2 linked regions of the Styela clava genome follow. Each later gene encodes a partner of the first gene's protein in a complex. Links are inferred from orthologs where the notes say so. Each region holds a gene or a part of one and is shown on either strand. Other genes may lie near its edges. The genes, in order: putative cytosolic iron-sulfur protein assembly protein CIAO1 and cytosolic iron-sulfur assembly component 2B-like.

Region 1 (7,865 bases):
TTTGGGTTTATTGAACCGCGACCATTCCCGCCTTTTTGCGTCTCCATTTATATTTTTGATTTTATTTACAAAATTTTCGCTGAATTTAAAAATGAAAAAAAGCAATAAAATTATTAAATGGGAAAGCTGATAGATCATAATAATATTCTTGAAATGAATAAATGTGGCAGCACTTAAGCCCTTTGATTAAGAAGCAAATATTCTGGCCAGATTTGCCTCATTGACTAATAGTGAAAAATAAACAGTTGAACACCTCAATATTTGCAAAAACAATTAGACAGAATTATACCCTACTAAATTGAATAGAACTTATTCTGACCAGATATGCCTCAATGATTAAAAATTATCATTCGAATAATTATAAATGAGCGCCTCACCCAGGGCCAAACCAGAAATATACCAGTCGTTCCAAACTACATAACAGCAGTTCCCAACCAGGAAGCCATACCTCCCCAGGAAGGCCACAGAACAGTTGGGCCACAATGTCAGGTGTCAAACTAATCTACCAAATAAAATTACACTCTAAATACCACTGGAATGATGGACAGGGGGCCATGAGTGCTAAAAGTATGTATGTATGTATGTTTATTTGCCTCAAAAAAGTAACAGTAGCTGCATAATAATTAAAGAGTAAAACAGAGATTGGATACATGTTCAAGACCTTACTGGCCTAAGACACAGATGTGCGACATGCATGTTTAGGACTGCTGCGTTATACTAGGACAACAGACATGAAATTACTATACAAATAAAATACACAAGACAAAGAGGTACGGCACAACGACGATATGTACAATAGTCAGTTTATGGCACGTCCATATCCCAGGTTCCGGTGTAAAAAGATGGAGATAGGGTATGGGTCGCTGAATTGATATGTTTTTACACTAAGTTTCACGAAACACATGAAGATCCAGACATGTAAATTCCAGAAGATGCCATGGACCACATAAGATGGGGAAAATAGCAGTAATGTAGCCTTGTTCAGAGTGAACAGCATATAAAAGAATAGATTGGTTTTCAAGGCAGGGCAACTACTCTTCTGAGTGGGTCAGTTACAGAGAATAGACTTGGTTACTGGGCCGAAGGCTCAGATCTCAATATGACAAACTGTGAATATTATATATAGGTCATATTTGTCTTTAGCCTTGGACAACGCTCCTTAAAAATTGGATTCGGAACGAAAACCAGATTAGAAATGTAAGTCAAGTCTAGTCAATTCCTGCATTAAGTCTCACTGGCCATTTGTTGAATCACTTCATTACGATCAGTACTTTCAAAAGATGAAAATCAAATTGTTATGATATACACATGCATTAAAAATTGCGATAATGACATAACAATTGACAGTAATTAGAATGCAAAAATATATATGTTATAAAGTGTTGGACTATTTCAATTAGGTCCGATGGGCATGGGCCATATTAAATCATTTCGCCCAAGGGGCCACGGTTTGAGAATCACCGATTTCGACGAGAGAGGAGAGATTTATTTTTTTCGTCAACCAAAATAATATAACAGTCATCGTAAAAAAAATAATAATAATAAGTAATAAATTATTTTGGAGAGAGTGATACAACCAGACAGTCATCAAAGTCAACGCCCCAAGTCACTTCAAGTCTTTAAAAAATGATAACTCGAGTCCAATTCAAATTGAGTCAAGCTGCCTCAACACAGCATACTGTGTGATCAAGCCACGTTACCGTTTTTCATCTCCCATTAACATGGATGAGTAATAAATATTATGAAGAATCCTAAAAATCATCACATGGATTGATAACCAGATAAGAAGCCGTGGTTCTCCATATGATTAAGCCATCTTATCAAATTTCCTCTCCCCTTAGGATAAGTTTTAAAAGCCATTGATAATCTCGAACACCATTGCATGGTCGAGAGGCCATAGTTCGCCATATCATTAAGCGGGGCTCCCGAAGTATGCGAACCAAGATGGCGGACATCGGAATGTAATGTGTACTAGGTTAGGGTTAGGCCATAATTTTAGCTATAAATACTACGGGAGGCTCTTGGCTAGTCTTCGAACTGATAATAGGATAAAAATAAGGAAAATTGGAAAAAAATCATCGCCTAACCATAACCTGTTACCCATGTTACGTTCCGATGTCCGCCCATCTTGGTTCGCATACTTCGGGAGCACCCATTAAGCCCTCTTATCGGCTCCACTCTCCCATTAGGTTTTGAATTAAAATTCATAAAAAGATTAAACATCATCAATTTTCCAAATTTTAACTTCACAGTCATCACTCGCTGAAGCGAGGATTCCCGGCTGAGCGGGATTCCAGGACACGCAGTTTACATCTTGCGCGTGAGAGTGATTATACGAACACAACAGATTGAAAGTCGGTTCATCAGAAGAGCTTTTCTCATCTTCTTTAAAGATTCGAATAGCATCATCGGCACACGCTGTAGCGATGAGTCCCGTTTGATGACACCAGTCAACGGAAAATATCGTTCTTTCGTGAAATCCAGAAAGAGTGCAAATACATTTCCATGAATACTTTGAACTCCCTGTCACAATATTTTGAGGGTTGCCAGATTTATAGCGTTTCCATATCTTTAAAGTTTTATCATCTGAGACTGTTGCTAATCGATCGCCGGATTTATCCCAAGAAATTGACCACACGGTGGAGTCATGACCTTCTAACACTGCACCAGTAACCCACTCCCCGTCATCCTCCTCAAAAATCCGCACTGTATCGTCATAGCTACCCGAAGCAAAAATATCTTCATTAGGATGCCATACTACTTCTTTTACATCCTGGGTATGAGAGGTCACGACCCCTGCACATTCAAAATCATCCTCATCATAGGTTTCCCAAACCCAGACTGATTTATCCCGAGAACATGTTGCCAGATATGACCCTGAAATGGACCAGGCTGCAGCTTTGACTTCATTTTCATGTCCTTCAAGTGTTGCAATACATTCAAATTCCCCTGATTTTTTATCCCAAATACAAACTGTTGCATCAAAACTTGCGGTCGCTAAACGGTTCCCACAAGGGGACCAAGCAACCCTTCGTATTGCACGCTGGTGGCCTTCTTCGAGAATCGTTTTGCAGACCCATTTTTCACCCTCCAGCCCCCAAATTCGCACGCTTTTGTCGCCGCTGCAAGACGCCAAATGCTTTCCTGTGTGATTCCAGTGAACACCCCATACTCTATCACCATGTCCCGTTAACGTTGCAATTTGTCGGATAGACATTATAGGGCTGATTTATAATATATTATTAAATGATAAAAAAAATAATATTAAATGAAGACATAAACTATGTAAATTTAAAGTATAAAGTATGGCTTTCAAAAAACATATTCGTCAGGCAAACTATACTTGTTTTTCTACGTCTGCTAATTACTCGGTTTGCGATAGAAAAAAATGGCAATGGGAGAGATATAAACTTTCCGCAATCCTAGAATGATATTATTTTGTGATATACTGAAAAGATTACTGAATTAGGAGGATAAGTATAACAGTTGTTGAATTCCAACAATGAACATGTCAATGCCACTCATTTTCGGTCAAGTGCACCAGAAGATTACTTAGAATATGTACATTTAAAGTAAACAAAACATAATGAGTATGATTTTATTTCGACTACATAATCCAGTAATCAGCATACCAGGCAATAAAATGATTGATAGAAACAAATAAATAAAAAACTGATTATGAAATCAGGAGAGCAAATAAAACCTTAGATAAGGTTTAAAACATACAGAATATAAGATGGAAGGTTTTGCCAAGAAGAAGTGGTACCGCACGGTATGTCAGTATGTATAATAAGTATAAGTTTATTTCAACTCCATAATCAGCATTAGACAATAAAACAAGAGATAAAATTAATTGATTATAGAATCGGGAAAGCGAACAAAACCTTGAGTAAGGTTTAAAACGTACAGATTTATTTATTTTTTTTAAATTTCAAGAATTAGTTCCACTTCATTACAATAAACACTTCTAGTTATATTTTATATATATTTGCATAATAAATCAAGTTCTTCACAATAATTAGGTAAATTTCTCAGTCGTTCTATATTTCTCCTACACCTTATTGAATTTCTTATAGTATTGACTACATTATTCACTCTTGGCATTACATTTTCAAAAATCACTGCATTTCTTTGCAACCAAATTTTATATCTTGCAGTACATATCAATAAAATAATAGCATTTTTTTCTATATTGGTCAAATGTATATAATTATTGTGTCTTAAATCTAATAATGTACATGTTTCATAATTTATTAAGTTGCCACTGTTAGTTATTTTCATAATAATAGAAAAAACATAATCATACAATTGTTTCACAAATGAGCAATTCCAGAATAAATGTGTTATAAATTCAGCTTCTTTGTCCCAAAATACACATAGGTCATCTCCAGCAATATATCTAATTCTTGACATTGGTTTAAGCGGTAAAATATTCCACAATAATTTGTAGTTAAAAGTTTTTACATGATTAGCTAGATTTTACATAGACGTACAGATTTTAGATGGAAAGGTATTGATAAAGGAAGTAGTATGCGTTCGCTCACCCAAAAGTAAAAAAATTAATTAAGGCACGCACCTACAATCATTGAAACATGATAACGTCGGAAGTGGAAAAAGCGAGACTTAAAATCAATTAAATTACTCAAATATCAATTAAAAGTAAAAAGAAAAATATACAAACAAAGGAAAAAAATGAGTAAACTCATTTGCCACACCAAATTAATAGTTTTATGAAGATTGCCGAATTGGATATCGAATTAGTCAACAAGACTAATCAACTGTGGATAGAAAAGTATTCCTTGAAAGATATCGTCAATCTGATTATAATTGGAGTCACCTAATGCCAAATTGCCCAATCAGAATTGCCAAGTTGGATATATGAAGGGGTGAGCTAGACCTGCTTCACTCAACAATTAGAAGTAGGGTGGCTTACCCACTTTGCGGCCACGACCTATCTGCGACCATCAACTTCATCGATTAAACGAATGCCGAAAAAATTAACGAACCGCGACGATATTTCTCACACGTTATCGTCCACTTATCCCTCGTAGCTCTGCAAAATTACACTAAAATGCGACCACAAATAAAAAAGTTACGACTGAAAACCTGACCGAAGAAAAAAAACGGACCATTTTACCATGTCGCCAACTACCCATTGTTCCTTCGGAAAAGCTTAAAAATCCATACAAATATAAGAGATAAAGAGATGAAACTTGGCAGGTGGGAAGAGTTGTGTTTCTTTTAACCATCTTTAAAGTTTCGCGTTTCTACATTCAAAGGAGGGGGAGTAGGGGGGTGCGCATTTCCAATACGTCAATAATATCTTTGTCAACAAATTTGCGACCACCGTGTTTTTGTCTGTTTGATTGCTGTGATGCGGCGCTTTGTTTATAATTTGAAGAATTTTGTTTGAAATAACTGTGTTCTTAAAATATATGACGGTCAGAAATGCAATTAGAAGCCCATTTTTTCACGCATGGCTGCGTATGCCCTAGTCTCGACGCAGCAGAAACGATGTTCAAGGCTTGAAATTCGTGATCGCACACTGGTCGTTCGGTCGCAAAAACGTCTTCAGAGTGTCGTACTTTGGTGGTTTGTATAGCTTTAACCCCTGGTCGTAGAAAGTTAATTCGTAGAATTAGAAATTGGTCGTAGAAGTTCAGCGTGTAGAATAAATGCCAATGCACCTACGGTGAAAAAATTAACGGGTTGGAAATATTGGTTTTTGTTTTAGTCGCCGTCGCGGTTTGAATGAAATCGTCCGCAGACTGGCTACACCACCCTACTAACTAGCAAAACAACGTCCAAATTATGTGTTCACTCACCTAAAATAATTGAATTAGTTTGCACACGCGCCCACACAAACACAGAGAAAATATAAAGTAAGAAGAACTCGATGACTTACACATCGATAGTAAACAAACATAATAAAAAAAAAATATGTATCATTTGTCTAAAAACTGAAGATTTCTACAGACAGAGTCTGAGAGACCTCTGTGAAGCTAGCAGCAAAACACGAAATTGTCTGAGAGTGGACAAAAGCAAAAGTCATGTTTACCAACTTTGTTCACGTGATCTATGGTGCCAGTGGCACTGGGATAATGCCATGACATTGTTAAAAGGTCGCCCAATTTCTGAGGTATTCCCAACAATTAATTTGGTGAAAAATAAAAATTAGAACTTGAATAAATTCATTCCAATTTTCTGAAATGTAATCAATCGGAAATTCACATGCGACTCAATGTCGTCATCTAGCGGTTTGTGTGGAAAAATTTTTGATCCACAAGGAGTCACTTTAGAGTTTCCATGTGGAGTCACATTTGTTTACAATTACATCAGATCAACTCGTTCTGGTCAGTTTCTACGAGTTTCGTCATATTGGCGTCATTTCTGAATGTTTTGTGCTGGAAGTACATTCAAAATGAACCAAAGAAAACTTCCAAATGTTTTAATAACCGGTAAGATGATTATATATATAACGTTTTCGATTTTAAGTATTTTCGTTTTTCACTATTATTTTTGTTTACTAGGTACAATTTATCTTAATTTAATTTGTTTTAATTCCAGTATTATCACCAAATTAAACAATCAATTGATCGAACAATAACAGAAAAATAAATAATTTTTTTAAAATAATAAGTATAAGGTCATTTCGGCTCCATAATTTGCATAACAGGAATTAAAATGAATAATAAAAATATAAACCGATTATAGAATCAGGAGAGCAAACAAAACCTTAGATAAGGTTTAAAACGTACAGAATATAAGATGGAAGGTTTGGCTAAGAAGAACTGGTACGTGTTCACTCACCTAAAATTATTAAATTAATTCACACACACACATAACAACAGAGATAATTGCGAAATAAGTAAACCCAATAAACTTAAGATAAATTATATAATATATTATATATAATTAAAACTGTAGGCAGGTCTGATATTAACGCTTTGGTTTTGTATTGATTGATGCATCACGTTGTAAAAATATTGTCGAATAATCAAGATTTAAATTTGACTCTAAATATCTTTGGTTTATCGCAATACCACTGAGAGATGGGGCAAATTAGACATTACTTTAATTTACAACAGATATATGTATTACTGTATCAGTGTACAGAGTATTGAGAAGATAGAAAATTAAATTTTATATTTCCATCCTTTCAAGACATTCAAATTAAGGCAGTGGTTCCCCAACTTCTTAGAGTTGGGACGCACTATTTATTACTACAGCTTATGGCAACCCATCTCGTGATTTTCTACAATGTAATTTTATTTTTGATGAATGAACTGCTAGGATTTTGTGTAGCAAATTTTTGTTCCTTTGAGAAGATCGTGAAAATGAAACTGTCACAGATTAGAATTTAAATTCAATTTATTATTTTTGTTTTTTTTTAAAGATTTACGTATTCGAGTCGCCACCGATCCTAATAACCAGTATAATTAATCAAAGCTTTTTACATCTTTTCACGACCCACTAAGATTCCTTTTGACCCTTAGTTTGGGAACCGCTGAATTAAGGTATATATTGTATCAGGTAGTATTAGCCATTACCCAGATTTGTCGATAGCATAACTACGTTGGGCCTGTGTTGTAATCCGCCGGCAACGTTGTAGGCGGTTTTACAACCATACACCATCGTAAGGCTATGATTGGTTTTCAGTGAAACATGACACAATGTAGAAAAAATTGGCTTGTAATTCGACTTTTACATAAGACCACCATTCTTTTTAGAAGGCAGTCTGTAATCGACGTGCTGTGCGAGGTTTTTCCGGTGGCTAGAATAGTGAAATTGAACTTTAATAAGCTTGAGTGTTTTAAAAGTACAGCCTGAATGTTTAATAAAGGGTGGTCCAAACCCAGTCCCGC
Region 2 (7,376 bases), on another chromosome or scaffold:
TGCGAGGAATGAGCTGGTTGAATATGCTACATAGGAAAGCTGAAAAAACAATTGGACTTGATTTGAATTTTTAGCGAAGCATCAGTTACACATTGAACCTGAAATATTCCAGTTGTCCCAACACCTTCCACATATATATGGCTGCACCAGTAATTATTGTTTGATTTATCTATTACTATTGACTTAAATCACTGGTGTCGCTGCTCATTAACCAGTAATGGTGTCACATGCCTCCATTTACCCCGAAGTACCATATTACTTCCTTTTTGTATTGTTCATTCATAAAGTGTAGTTACATACTATATTGTTACATATTAGTATGGTGGAAAAATAAATTACTGATTCTAGCCAGTGGAACCATATAAAAAAAAAGATTCTATCCAGGCAATGGCATGTTTTTCCATGAATTTGGTTTTGAATTGTATAGCTGAGCGGTGTTAGGTCAAAGTTTATCTAAGAATTATAATCTCAATTTATGTCGCTAACCAAAAATTATTCTTTAAGCAAAATATCCTTTATGTGTATATTAGGTCACAGCTAATGATGCACAAATTTAATACAGACAAACATACATAATACCGGTAAATCATATATTATTTTGACATATAACAAGCAATCTATGGCGTGAAGTGTACCTGTATAATAAGAATACTTTGCAGTCTTGATGAGGTTGATGATTCACGTTTAAAATGAAAACAATCGTTTAGGAATATGAAAATGAGAAGCAATGTCGTCAATCCTTCAAAACAAACTGCAACTGCTTCGGCTGTCGATATGTCTGAAATAAAGAAATAAATTTTTTAACATACATGCAATTTAATTTAAATTCCTGCTTTTCTGAAATTATCGAATATAGTAGAATAGTATAAGACAGATGTTTTTATACCCATCTTCAACTAAATATTCACATTTGAATATCAATATTTCATCTTAGGAGACAAAGTAACTAAAATTCGTCACATTATGAATGGTAAAAAAATCAGAACACAAATAAAAAAGCACTACTTACGAGCGAAGAATGTTGTGATATTAGGACTAACATTATTTGAACAATTGTTTGACATTTTTTGTGAAAGGAGTTGGTTATATTCATTATGTCCTGCTAATAATTCTCAATGTTTCAGCTATGTTATGAGCATATTGTATAGTTCCAAATCTAGGCAAAAAAATATACAGATAATATTAGCTTGAAGTACTAACGAACTATTTAAGTTCCTCATTAAGGTAAAAATTAATAAGTATTGAATAAATTACTCGTTTACATTTAAACCAGCAATCATCATCATCATATGAGCACTTTTATGTGAAAGTATTTTGTAAATTTTAATATGCTATGAGTAACCTAGCAGTTATTATAACTGGCATGGCATTGTGACTACAATTATAGATCTACTATTGTTGAAATCTATCTACCAAAAGCTTGAAAAGCAATTGCATAAACTTGACTCAAAAAAATCCGCAACATGGCGACGGCATTGCATTTGTGAGAATAATATCAGAGATATAAATCATGGTATAAACACGTTCGGCAGGATAATGAAGAAGTGTTCTTATGGACAACCATAAACAAGACCATGAGACTACATAAAGCTTTTATGACCGTTTCACTGCTGGAAAATATACAAGTAACATAAATATCCACTACATCAGTCGCTTAATTTTTCCTGTCTGCTGAATTAATAAAACATGTAAAATGAAGCATGGTGGTAAATTGGCAGTCATGCTTTGATACCTATTCAGTTTCACACATTTTGATCTAAAATTCTACAATCATATTTAGTCACAGGATTAACTGTCAAAACTGTTCAATTAAAAAAAAAAAAAATTATTCTGCAAAGTTGTTTTTCACGTGTTTACATGAATATGCCTCTGCCCGTTCCAACGGTCTGGAAAAGAGGTGTTGTTATCCGCCATGCATCGAACCAAAAAAATACTAAAGTGCTCCACACCACACATACACCGCACAATCGAAAACATGGAACAACTTCTTCCCCATTCCAACACGCATGAAATATGTATATACATATTGAAAGAAATGTCAGACAATTCTGTTAAACAACTATTTTGTTAGTTTTTCACGGTCAAACATTGATTAACAACACCCAATAAATGATTGTTTTCAAGAGCTGCCGCTACTCTTTCTTTGTCTGCTAGTTGTTTATTAACTGCAGTCTCTGATTGATGTGTTCCTTTCGCAATTTTTATTTCAACTTTGAACCTTGAAGGTAAAGCTCTTAGAAGTTGTACTCTGATTGCTAGTCCAATTAATGTAGCCATGCTGCAATGAGGTATTGTTGGAGTAAATGAAACAATGACGGAACTAGCTTTATCATCAACAAAAATGTCTTTTTCATTCACAACTCTCAAGTCTTCCAAAGTAAGTGGATGCTCTGGATCATTGATATCACGAATCAAATCAAAAATTTCTCTGGCATCGATTTCATCATGAATGTCGTCATCTTGGTTTTCTTCCCGATATCTCGGAGTCTGAGATTCATGAACTAGTGGATTAGCGTTGTCTTTAGATGAGAAGTTCATGCTTTTTACTGTTATAACTGTATAACATAGAGAAAACAAATTTTGAATGTCATTAACGGAATTTCATTTCAGTAAAATTATGGTGTTTTTGTAGCAAATACAAGTACAACCAAGAACTAAGTAAAGAATCTTAATCCCCATGGCTGAGTACAGAATAAATTATCTCATTGTGTATTGCTGTACTGCTCAATTCAGATATTACAGCGGCTCGACAGTGTTGTGCACCATGATAAGCGTTAGGAATACAGGAATACCGGTACCACAGCACCACACATCTGATTACAATGCGTGGCTTTGCAGGTTTGAATCTTATGCGGGGTTACTATGTACGCGAGGATTGCTCGACTCCTCGGTATCACCGCTGTGAAGCTAGTAGAATTTGACCTTTGTGTGCGGCGAGGCGAAAAGGTTAAAATTCTTGGCAGAATTAAGTGTATTCATCTGAAAACAAATGACTGGTTTAAGCAGTCGTACTGTCTTTCCTCACCGGCTCACCCCCGGGATAAATATGTAGATCCTACTGTCCTATCCGACAGTATTATGTAAAAATTATTAAAATAACAGAACCACATTATTTTCGGGTCTAGTGTAGTTTCGTACCTAAAGTACTTCTAGTGCTGTAGTGGGTGTATAATCGGAAGGTATAATACTAAGGCAGGGGTGGGCAACCCCTGGCACGCGTGCCAAACTTGGCACGCGAGTGCATTTATTCGGCACGCGAGCGAGGCCTTGGGGCGCAGGGTTCACCTGGCTATATTCTCACGTAATATAGTTCATTATGTGTCGCCCTTTTTCGTCATTTCTGCTTGATTTGTGAAGTTGTACAGCTCATATCGGGTATAGTTACTGTTATAAATTAATTTTGAAAGAAATATATATAAGCGATAAGGGAAGCGAATACAAGAGAGAAGTGCGGAAATCGGGATGCCATTCGCGAATTTTTCGTGTCTTAAAAACTTTGCAACTGCACTACTCTCCATGTTTTCATCTACATACTGACATATGCTTGTGAATCTCTGTTCTCAGTTATAAACCTTATTAAGTCTCGCAACAGGAGTAGCCTGAAAGATGAAACCAGTAGTTCGTGTATTTCTTTGAAAGTTACAAAATATAAACCCAATGTGAAATCTCTATCAGCGGTAATGAAGCAGCAAAAGTCTCACTTAGATAGAATAAGAAAAGTAATTAAATCTATTTGTCGGGAAGATACTTACACTAATAGTTAATCTGTCTGTACATGTTTAAATAGTTTATTATTGTGTATTTTTGCTTTGAAAGTAGCAAAGCATTGTTTTTAATCTTGGCCGGCACGCGGCGGAAAAATGTTGTCATTAAATTTAACCGATTTTGGCACGCTAGACGAAAAAGGTTGCACAGCCCTGTCCAAAGGCCTAAGCCAGGGGTCACCAAACTACGGCCCGCGGGCCGGTCCGGCCCGCAATAACACGCAAACATTGCTAAATATTTTTCCAAGGGAGATTTTCCCGAGCATCGTCTTCCTTGTTTAATTCGTAACATTGGCCAATCTGCAAGATGCAAAAACGTGACGTAATAATATTTCTTTTCGCTTCCGCTCAGACACTTTTTTCACCCTGATAGATTTTCAGTCGTGGTTGTAAACAATATTTCGTTTTTGCGACTTTAAATGCTATTCGTTAGTTTTTGGTTGTGTTTCGGAAATTTAAGTATGAATCAAATAAGTCAATCATCATTTGCGTCCTTAGGAGTTGTAGTTTTAATAGTAGTAAGGAAAAATTAGTCTAGGAATAGCTGTGACATAATAGGCTAAATTTCTCTACCGGTACGCGGTTTTCTAACACTGCATAACGGTACTTAGCAAACGTGATGCGTATATTTTTTGGCGCGAAAAAGCGGATTTTGAAAATTCCTAATTCACGACAGAAACGTTTTGATACCAGCTAAACTCAGGATAGTTGTTTAGATATTGAAATCTTTCATATTTGTTTTCCTAGGATGTTCCTGATCTATATTCTGCGATATACATAGAATTTGAATCAAGTCTTCAGAAATGTAGAAGATATATTGTTGAATGGATTTCCCAACTTTTGTGAATTTATTATATTGCATTGACAAGAATATTCATCCGGCCCGTTTCAACACAGTTTGAGTCATACCCGGCCCGCGGTCAAAAAAGTTTGGTGACCCCTGGCCTAAGCTGTAGAGCAGGGGTCGGCAACCTTTTGTCGCTCAGGGGACAAAAAGTTAGAGTTGCAAGTGATTGTCGGGCAGCCCATATTTTTAGAAACCGAACGAACGCATCCATCACTAGAATATAGATTTATTTCCTCATTGCATTGCATCTCAAAAAATTCCATTGAATATTTTCGGCGCCATCGAACCCTTTGCACTTAGCTTGAACTTTTCTGCGTTTTGTTGCCATTTGTCTAATTGTAATTAAATTATTAAACGAGTAATTGTAAATTTATGCTTGTTGGATTATAATATAATTTAGTCTACACGTGTCTCACAATAAATTCTGTTACGTAAAGAATATAATCGCCAAAACAACTGTTTTGTTACTATAATTGGGTGAAGTGTCGCTGGCCGGATTATATTACTTCGCGGGCCGGAGGTTGCCGACCCCTGCTGTAGAGCTAAAGGATGTTTCCCCGGGCATCGATTTCCTTGTTTATTTCCGTAACAATTACAAATCAACAATACGTTAACAATGAAGTGACAGTTGGAATTTATGCCGTGGATCAGACAGATATTCAAACACGGTTGTAAACGTTCCCTCTTTTGGTAGTTTTGCGTGTTGTTCGCCAGTTTTAGTCCCTCTGTCACTTTTGCCGCTGCGGTCATATTCGACAACAATTATGGCATTTAGTTATTATTAATAGCATGCAACAATCATGCTACATTAATTGGGAAAGTACAATCAAGTAAGAAGACGCGTATAAAAATATAAGTTTATTTTGACCTCAAAAACAGCATAAGAGACGATAAAACAAAGATGAAAAAAAAAATGAATAAAACTGATTACAGAATAAGGAAAGCGAACACAACCTTATTAAGTTAAGTTCAAAACGTACAGATTTTAGATTAAAAGATGTTGTCAAAAGAAATGGTACGTGTTCGCTTTCCCTCCCTTACTCGATTTTAAAAGTTTTATTATCGTTACCTACTTGTTATCTGTAACGTTGTCAATACATTCAAAATTGTACTTTTGGTACTCCCGAATAGCGGACACCGTAGGCCTAACCCAGTATGCGTACCAGGTTAGGGTTAGGCCATAATTTCACGTAATAATACTACGGGTGTCACTTTGCTATTCCGCGAACTCGTAATAGCACTAAAATTGGGATAAAATTATGGCCTAAACCTAACCTGGTACACGTAGGCTACTATGTTCTGGTGTCCGCCATCTTAGTTCACATACTTCGGGAGTACCGATTTTTTAATATAACTAAATTAACAATTTTTGAATGCAGTCGAACATATCTGAATGCTTTGATAATGGTTGCCTGTGTTAAGAAAACAGAAACTTAAGTACGCTAAAAACGATTGCAGTGATTTTACCCGAGATGCCGCTTTCACGAACCGTCTCGGACCAGTATCAGTTTCATACGTTCATACAGTTACGTTCCACTCCTGTGGTTTCCGTTTCATAACATCCCTTGGGTCGCCAGATGGTAATTTTTAAATCTATGCTAACATTCATCGGTGGGGTGTGGGGCATATAAATCTTGGCAGATTTATTGACTTGTTGGCCGTAACGGTGGTTCTCTCCAGCCTTGCTGTAGCTCGTAAACCTGGTCGAAATTGTGGGTAGAATTATATTTGAACGTTGAACTGCCGTCGGCCGGTTAAATGTAATCGTTATAATGGTATTTTTAAGCTACTAGTTATGGTATTCGGATATCAAAAAAGTTGCACTTATTGTTAGATGTAGACAAATATAATTTATTGCTTCCCTACGTTGACGCCGTCTAACTTCGTTGGCATAATTCGACCAGATATAAATCACAAAAAAGCTAGGAGGGGGCTGATAGGACAAGAAGGCAGCTATCATCAGACATGGGGGCATGTTAGCAAGTTGGCCGGACTTAGGTAGGTGACGCATTGATGGTATGGGCAGACGTATGGAGACTCTGGAAGGCGGGTTAGTTATAGGCAGGTATGGTCAGACGTAGGGAGACGCTAGGAAGCGGGTTGGGTGTAGGCGGGCATCTCGGATGGGACACCAGAAAGTGGGTTGGGTGTAGGCAAGCGGGTAGGGTGAGACATAATAGACGCTGGGAGGTGGGTTGGGTGAGAGATTGAGGGGCACCATGAGGCGGGTTGAGTGTAGACCTCCACATGTGAGGGGTAAGAAATGAATTAGGTGATGTTGTAAATATGTAAGGGTGGGAAGCGGGTTGGGTAGTGCCAAAATAGCATTAGCTTGGGTATACAGTGGAGAATCAGATTAAATGGCTTATTTGTTATGATAGAACATAAAAATTAGCTGTCTTATCAAAATATCCCATATATTTGCTTCAAATAATGGAAATCTTGCTTCAACTCATCAGAAAACCTGTGTTTATTTTTCAGCCTTTTGATGATTCAACGACCGGATAGATAGATGTTAAATTAACGCAGGGTTTATACTTCGTATCATAACTGTAACATGGCAATACAGTAGCTCTATCTCTCTCATTCTGAACTAGTAAAGTGAGTTGCTAATCAGTGGTAAATCGGATGCCTCCATTAAAAAAGATAAACAATTTTATATTAATACTAAATTATTGTAATAAAATATAAATAAAAAATTATTCATGACTTCCATACTGTATGACCGGAACCTTTAGGACTACCGTTTGGGACGGTGGGGAAGC

What was found.
Region 2: the proteins of putative cytosolic iron-sulfur protein assembly protein CIAO1 (region 1) and cytosolic iron-sulfur assembly component 2B-like are in contact, whole or in part, in a crystal structure (PDB 6TBN), measured with the Drosophila melanogaster proteins. The link is inferred for Styela clava from reciprocal best matches to the Drosophila melanogaster genes Ciao1 and galla-2. Residues at the interface, in NP_610996.1 of Drosophila melanogaster: Arg16, Trp18, Arg60, Thr61, Arg63, Phe79, Glu105, Lys107, Arg123, Asp150, Lys152, Tyr168, Asn170, Ser195, Thr196, Trp198, Thr216, Ser248, Gly249, Gln250, His251, Ser252, Arg253, Tyr256, Gly272, Asp273, Asp274, Arg277, Glu299, Gln304; in NP_648416.1 of Drosophila melanogaster: Ser74, Pro106, Lys109, Thr111, Ala124, Lys127, Gln128, Asp131, Lys132, Glu133, Arg134, Ala136, Ala137, Glu140.

Annotation. Positions count from the first base shown.
Region 1 is NC_135252.1:24,219,142-24,227,006, forward strand, and holds putative cytosolic iron-sulfur protein assembly protein CIAO1, read right to left. Parts: upstream 3,240-7,865; 5' UTR 3,218-3,239; coding exon 2,216-3,217; 3' UTR 80-2,215; downstream 1-79. Other genes in the region: uncharacterized protein LOC120342056, read right to left, coding at 1-47; adenylate kinase isoenzyme 6-like, read left to right, coding at 6,395-6,458. UniProt on the Drosophila melanogaster protein: Essential component of the cytosolic iron-sulfur (Fe/S) protein assembly machinery. Required for the maturation of extramitochondrial Fe/S proteins.
Region 2 is NC_135255.1:15,933,312-15,940,687, forward strand, and holds cytosolic iron-sulfur assembly component 2B-like, read right to left. Parts: upstream 2,578-7,376; 5' UTR 2,539-2,577; coding exon 2,068-2,538; 3' UTR 1,156-2,067; downstream 1-1,155. Other genes in the region: organic solute transporter subunit alpha-like, read right to left, coding at 1-39, 636-778, 1,010-1,064. UniProt on the Drosophila melanogaster protein: Component of the crb-galla-Xpd (CGX) complex which is essential for proper mitotic chromosome segregation in early embryos. The CGX complex is also required for cell proliferation in developing wing disks.